Elephas maximus indicus: one gene and its partner. The protein of the gene in region 1 interacts with the protein of each later gene in a pairwise test. Links are inferred from orthologs where the notes say so. Each region holds a gene or a part of one and is shown in the gene's direction. Other genes may lie near its edges.

Region 1 (3,749 bases):
CTTGTCAGAAAGAAAGATGATGTGAAGAATGAACAAAAATAGCTCTGTTCAACAGCTGTGATATCTATAATTTATCAGCTGTGATCATCTCTCAGCAGATTGTCTTGGTGTCTAAAGAAGAATGAAAGTGTATTTTCCATTTGTATATGAAGTACTTCAAAGAAAACAAACTTCTCTTATACCTATTTTTTCTTAGCCATACATTTCTCTTTACATACAAGCAGCGTGCTAAGGGACCTCATGTTTGAAGAATGTGAGCTTAGACTCTATTGACACATACGGTGTTATAAATGTTTAATTAAAAACAAACAAACGAACAAAAAACCAAACCCGGTACAACCCCATGTGTTACAGAGTAAAACTGCTCCATAGGGTTTTCTTGGCTGTAATCTTTATGGAAGCAGATCACCAGGCCTTTCTTCTGTGAGGCTGCTAGGTGGGTTTGAACTCCAACTTCTAAGTTAGTAGTCAAGCACTAACTTTTGCACCACTCAGCTACCTAAATGTTCATCTAATCTTTAATAATTTGTCCCTAAACAGTAAATAATCTTGTTAAGTACTGAAAGGTATGACCACATTAAGGAAAGAAGGAAATAATTTCACTGCCAAATTGTCAGTCTTTAACACTCTGCCTGGGTGTCATGCCTCTAGTTTCCACTTACTATTTTTCTTTCACTTCTATCTTTATCATATTTATTATTTCTTTGATTTGGGCCATTTTATTGCCCTTGCTCTTCACAATTCCTCTTTGCCTCTTAGGTACTTTACTTTCTATGCTTATTACATTCAGTTTTCATTTCTTTCACTCTTTTTCCTTTGTACAGCTCTGTCACATACTAGTATTTTTGTACTACAGATTTACCTGAGCATGTGCTGAAGTACAACCGAGCAAACACTGTGACTTTGATTTATTGGAAAACTTTGTGCAAATTAGTTAAAATTGAGAGCTCTGGAGAAGAGGGTCTCTTCCATCTACACGGCAAAATAACTGGGAATTATAAAATATGTAAAGAACAATTAAGGAAAGCATAGAATTGGGTTCTGTATGTACCACGGCCAATCAAAAAACAGCCAGGTCCTGTCTCGAGAAACTTCCTTTAGCTCTCCTCAGACTGCCGTTTGATCAAGGTCCTTCCCACCACCCTCCCTGGACTTTCCGCACACCCACAGCGTATGTATATATCTATGTGTATCGATGGCACTAGTTTTTTTTTTTTTATTTTTTATATACCCATAGATATATATTTTTTACATCCCTTCCTGCTACTTTCACGTTTTTCCATTTCCGAAGATTCTTCCCAAATCTCACCTTCGCACTGTCACCGCCTTCAGTTTTCCTCATAAGGGGTTCCCGGGCCGTGTCCCTTTATCCCCCTCCTCGCAGCACCTGCCTGTTTTTGACCCTATTTCGGACTTCCCACACCTGGCTCGGGACCCCTCCCTCAAATCCTCCTGAGACGCCGCGTTCACTCCTGGCCCGGGCCCACGACCTCGCCGCCTCGCCGCCTCGCCGCCTCGGGCCCCGCACACAGACGTCTCTCACGCGCGGGCGCGGGAGCGTCCGCCTCCCCACACGTCCTCTCTACGGTGCGAGCGCCCGGCTCGCCGCCCGTTTCGCGTTTCCCACCTCGGCCAGGCCCCTCCTCTTCGCCACCTCCCGTCCTCCCGGGACCCGCGCCCGCACCGGTCACCGCCGCCTGCGCCCCTCGGCGTCTCCCGACTCGGCCCCCGCCCTCCGCAGGTCCCGCTGCACTGTGGGTAGGCGGCAGCGGCGGCGTCCGCGTCCGCGTCCGCACTGAGGAGCCGCCGGCCGCACCGGGCTGCGGGCGCCGAAGATGGCTGAGAAGCAGAAGCACGATGGGCGGGTGAAGATCGGACACTACGTGCTCGGGGACACGCTGGGCGTCGGCACCTTCGGCAAAGTGAAGAGTTGAGTATGCGCTCGAGGCCGCCGCGCGGGGCTGCCCGAGGCGCTGGAGGTCGGGCCGAGCCGGGAGAACCGCGGGAACCGCTGGAGCCCCGGGCCGCGGGAGGACGGGCGGGCGGGCGGACGGGCGGGGTGCAGGGCCTGGCGGCAGGTGGAGCGGCCCGGGGCCGCGCGGAGCTTGGTGGCTCCGGGAAGGGGTCGGGCGAAGAGGAGCGAGGGTGTGGGTGCAGGGGACATTTGACCCGGGTTCCTGGTACGGTGCCGATTTCACTTTCCAGTGGTCTGGAGCAAGGCACTTCTCACTTCCCCGGACCTCAGTTTCCTCGCCTGTAAAAATGGGAGACTGGAATAATACATCTTACTGATTACTGAGTTTCTTTTACGGGCCAGATGCCCTGTTAGGTGCTTTTAGTGTGATCTTTAATCCCAATTTGGTGAAGATATCTTCACTGCAAAGGTGAGAAAACTGGGATCCGTGGAGGTTTAGTAACATGCCCAAGGTCACACAAATTGGCAGAACCAGGATGAAGTCTAAGATGTCTTCCAATTCTGGCATTGCTGGGAGTTCCCTGCCATTCCTAGATTCTTTAATGCTGAGTCTCAGTTGGTGGGGCTGGAGGTTTAGCGGATGCTCCAGGGGCCAGGAGGTGGGTAGGTCTTTTTGCTGGCTATGTGAAATGCTGGAATACCGCTGGATTAAGTCATGGGTTAATTAGAAATGGGAGATTGGTTGGTGTTTGTCAAAGGAAGGTTTCTGGGATGGGGAAAAGGAATAAGGTTTGTTGGTACTGAACTTTTGAAGATTTGGGCTCAGAGGGGCAAACCTGCCAAGGCATATACTGCTGACGTCTGTTTTCTTGATGATAGGATCCCATTTTGGGGCTACTTTTGGAATTTTCTACTTCTTAACTAGTTATGTATAAACACCCCCCCCCCCCATAAGAGTCACTTGGGCTTTACTTAACATGTCTTCTCTCCAGAACTAGAGCCAGTTTATTAAAAGTATTTTCTGTTTGATTGTTGAAGGGTTGACTTTTTGTTTGTTTGTTTCTTCTGTAGAAAATGTTAGGTAGATAGTTTGGACATTTTATTCTGAGGTCTCTATTTTCTTCTAAAATCATGCTTTAGCTTCAAGTCCAGACCGTTGAATAGGTAGAAGAGACTCATTGTTCCCAAATTCCTGTGGTAAGGATCAGTTTCTATTTACTTTTCCATTTTTTAATGTCCATTCATTTGTTCAGAAAGCAGTTAATGAGCACCTACAGTGTGCTAGGCACTGTTCTAGGTAATGGAAATACAGCAAGGAACAAAATCAGGAAGGCAAACAATAATCAAAATATATGTAAAATATATAGTATGTTTAGATTGTAGTAAGTGTTATTGAGAAAAATGAAGTAAGGTAGGGAGAATAGGGAGTTTTGTGAGGTGTGCAATTTTCAATAAGGAGGTTAGGAAGGGGCTCACAAAGTGATATTTGTGTAAAGACCTTAAGAAGGTTGCGAGCTTCTCTGAAGTACCATGAAGGCTATAAAGTCCTGAATTACCTTTGAAAAACCTCATAGAGTAGATAGAATATGTTTAGAATGAATATAGGAAGATCAGATGTTGGATTAATACCTGTAACGTTAACTTGTTATTATCATTATCGAGGACTATTGTATTACAACATCATGCAGTTACTCAAACAAACAATGCCTTTGCCATCTGGACGTGTACACTCTGGAAATTATATAACTTACTCCTTGTCCTTTTAAATTGTTAAATTTTTTTTTTTTTTTTTAATTTTCTCCACTGTAATCTGAATGTAGACTAGAATACCCAT
Region 2 (3,749 bases), on another chromosome or scaffold:
TTGGTGGATGAGACCCACTACCCATTGTCGTCTAGTCGATTCTGAGGTCCCTGAGTCCCATGTTTGATTTCAGTGGTTTTTGTCTCCAGGGACCCCCCTAGAACAGATCCAGTGAAGAGTTTGTGCCATGAGAGAATGGGACACATGCCACTACGAAGCAGGTTGGGTCAGTTCACAGTGTTCTAGGCTACTGGACAGACATTAAGACTTTGTAGCTCCCCCCCTCCTTTTTTTATTTTAACTTGGTAAAATGTGTTGGGAAATACGTGGGTTATTTCTGAAGGTCTTTAGCCAAAATGGAATGAAAATTGGAAACTGATGGACCCGTGAGGATCCCTCAAGCCCTCCTCTAATTTTTAATCTAAATTTTAATAGGCCCATGCAGATTATGTAGAAAATAGCGTGGCTGCTATAGGAAAGCACAAGATATGACAGGTAACAGCATTAGGGTAAAACAGGTACATTTAAACAGCACAGCCGTTCAAGGAGTGTGAACAGGCATATAACCTTAAAAACGATGTGACACCTGACCCTACTGGGCTGTAATGAATGTTCATAATGCACTCAGTCAAGGAAAGTTATATTTTGTAAAATGTACTTGTTGTTTGTAGTTGAGTCTCAGGGACACTGTATGACAGAGTACAACTGCCTCATAAGGGTCCTTGGCTGTAATCTTTAGGGAAACGGATCGCCAGGTCTTGGAGCCTCTGGTAGGTTTGAACCACTTATCTTCCCATTAGCAGCTGAGCGCTTAATAATTGCTCACCAGGGCTCCTTAACTTGCATTTAGAGAATCTATAAAAGCTGCAAAGATTTCTGTTCCAAGATGCATTAAAAAGGAAACGGTAGAATCTGTTTCACGATGGAAGTGATAGCTGTCCAATTACAGGAATCACATCCTTTCTAGGAATTTCTCCTGGAAAAAAAAAAAAAAACTCAAATCCTGTGTTGGGAATTCCAAAAATTTCCCAGGTCAAACGCCTGCCTGTACCCTGCACCTGGGGCACAATCCGGCCTGCTACCTTCTCTCAGCTCTTCCCTGGTCTCGCCTCAAGAGGCTTTTATTTCAAATGTTTAAGACCAACGATAGCGACGGTGTTACACTTGTGCCAATAGAGGGCGGTTAACGGCACTCTGTGACTGTATCTGCGGGGCTCTGAAGTGGCCGATCGTACTAGGAGCAGCCGGATTCGCCGCCTTGGAGAGCCTACAACGAGCGTGGTCAGGAAGAGCCGCCCTCTCAGCGCAGCTTCAGCTCTGGCGCCACCGCCCGGTAGGTCCCAGGATCCTGAGCGGCCCGAGTCGTGGAGCCACTCCGCGCATGCGCTCTCGCGCGGTGTCCGCGCGCGAGCTGGGCAGTCTCGCTCGTCGTGAAGTTGCGGTGGCAACGGTGTTTTCCCGCGCTTTTTCTTGGCGCCTCAGGGTAAGTATTTTTATTTGTATTATTATTATTACTGTAATCACTATCATTATTCTTTATTCTTTTTAGCGCGGTAAGGCAGGCTAAGAATCCCAGAGTGAAGTTTTTGTTGGTCTAAAAACTTGCCTCTGGATATCTTGGGCAGCCCACTAAATTGACTCCTTTCTTCACTTTGTGGAAATCTTGGAATTAGCTGTACATCTTGCTCTGCCAGAGAAAGGACTCAATTTCAAGACTGTCCCCAGCTCTTCTGTGTCCCCTTTGCCTGTTACCCTTCCGGAGGTAAAGTAAGCCTGATAACTCCCGCTGCCAGGTGCCACATACCAATGAAGACTCACCCAGAGAGGACACGGGATAAAGGTGTCAGGGTGTCCTTGTTGACCCCTATATCTGAGGCAACTGACAGAATTTGTCAGTTGATAAATGAGAACATTTGGTGTATAATTGGTTTGTCACGATTTTATACGGAGTATGAAGTATATGACTTGTTTTGGTAGGTCCAGAATATTGCTGCCCTGTTAGGGTTAGTATAATTCTAATGGGAGTGGCCACTATACTGAAAAGTAACTTAAAAAATAGTATTTATTTATTTTTACAAACGCTTTCATTAGAAGCATAGCATTGACTAGTGTTCATATTAACAGGTGAATTGTGATGATAAGAACATCACCTGCTTTTCTGAAGGCTTTCAGGCTTCATAATGGCCAATTACTTGGATGAAGCAGATTAGTTTTCATCTACTTCTAGCAGGCTGCTACTCTTTTTTTTTTAACAAGGCAACACGTGAAGAATCTGAGAAATCATAGCAAATATGGAAAACCTAAAAATGTAGCTTAAAATACTTGACACTAACGAATGGCTGAAATCAGTGCCTAGACTTTTATATCTGTCAAGTGTGAGATGTACTAAAACAATCTAGCAAACCATGAATGGATAATAAATTTGGATTTTTGTTTAGGTACTGAGGAAGGGCAAAAATCACTGATTTAGTTTTTACTTGTTTGTACCAACAAGTTCCTAAAGTTTATTTCTGTGCACACATTTTCAATCTTAGTAAATTAGATTAGAAACCACCTGTATTTGTTTAAAAAATTTTTTTTCATGGTCTTTGCAATGGTTTGCACAATAAAGGAACACAGCTAATATCTTTGAGTGACTGAAATCAATATGATTATAATAAAATACAAATACATAATAAAATGTAATAACTACATTGCATATTTCATTTAAAAAATTTATGGACTTGCTTCTTTATTTTCATTGCAATTTGTCCTATTCAGCCTTCTTATTTATCCCTATTAGAATTCTTTTCAGCGTCTGGAGACCTTATTCTTCCATTATGTCTTTGTGTGAAGACATGCTGCTTTGTAATTATCGGAAGTGTCGCCTTAAACTCTCTGGTTATGCGTGGGTCACTGCCTGCTCTCACATCTTCTGTGATCAGCATGGCAGTGGAGAGTTTAGTCGTTCACCAGCTATCTGCCCTGCCTGCAACAGTACCCTTTCTGGAAAGCTAGATATTGTCCGCACAGAACTCAGTCCATCAGAGGAATATAAGGCCATGGTGTTGGCAGGACTGCGACCAGAGATTGTATTGGACATTAGCTCCCGAGCGCTGGCCTTCTGGACATATCAGGTTAGTGCTTAGGTATCTCTGGAGAGTATGACTTGAGGCATATGTGGGCGCTTTCAGTGTTTTCCTTCACTGTTGTTTTATGAATGTATGAAAAACTTTCTTTTTTTTTTTAATTAATTTTTATTAAGCTTCAAGTGAACATTTACCATTCCAATCAGTCTGTCACATGTAGGTTTACATACATCATACTCCCTTCTCCCACTTGCTCTCCCCCTATTGAGTCAGCCCTTTCAGAAAAACTTTCTTTTTAATAAATTGTTTTCTTTTTTACAAAGTTGTATGTTGTTGAAAATCGAAAAGGAAGAAAAATTTAAAAACCAACCATAATTCCATCACTTAGAGATAACCGTGTTAATATTTTTGTGTATTACTTGACTTTTTCTCTGCATATATATATATTTATGTGCAAAAATAGGATAATACCACACATTGTTTTTATGGCCAGTTAAAGTTAATATATCTATTATGAATATTGTATTAAAAATTTAGGCTAAATATTCTGTAATCATCATTTTTATGGTTGCATTGTATCATGATTTGTTTCCAAGCTATAAAAAAAGTTGTGAAGAATGTTCTTATAGTCAAATTGACATCCTTAATTATTTGTTAAGATTAAATTCCTAAAAGTGGATAAAAACATTTTAAAGTTTTCATAAATTACAGTATGTTTTCCAATTGTCCTTCAATAAGGCT

What was found. The genes of interacting proteins can lie anywhere in the genome.
Region 2: the proteins of PRKAA2 (region 1) and CCNB1IP1 interact in binary tests that used the Homo sapiens proteins (3 or more experiments, as listed by UniProt). The two-hybrid records come from large-scale screens. The link is inferred for Elephas maximus indicus from reciprocal best matches to the Homo sapiens genes PRKAA2 and CCNB1IP1.

Annotation. Positions count from the first base shown.
Region 1 is NC_064821.1:100,488,344-100,492,092, forward strand, and holds the start of PRKAA2 (5'-AMP-activated protein kinase catalytic subunit alpha-2), read left to right. Parts: upstream 1-1,518; 5' UTR 1,519-1,835; coding exon 1,836-1,929; intron 1,930-3,749. UniProt on the Homo sapiens protein: Catalytic subunit of AMP-activated protein kinase (AMPK), an energy sensor protein kinase that plays a key role in regulating cellular energy metabolism.
Region 2 is NC_064828.1:30,473,591-30,477,339, reverse strand, and holds the start of CCNB1IP1 (E3 ubiquitin-protein ligase CCNB1IP1), read left to right. Parts: upstream 1-1,395; 5' UTR 1,396-1,423; intron 1,424-2,722; 5' UTR 2,723-2,759; coding exon 2,760-3,056; intron 3,057-3,749. UniProt on the Homo sapiens protein: Ubiquitin E3 ligase that acts as a limiting factor for crossing-over during meiosis: required during zygonema to limit the colocalization of RNF212 with MutS-gamma-associated recombination sites and thereby establish early differentiation of crossover and non-crossover sites.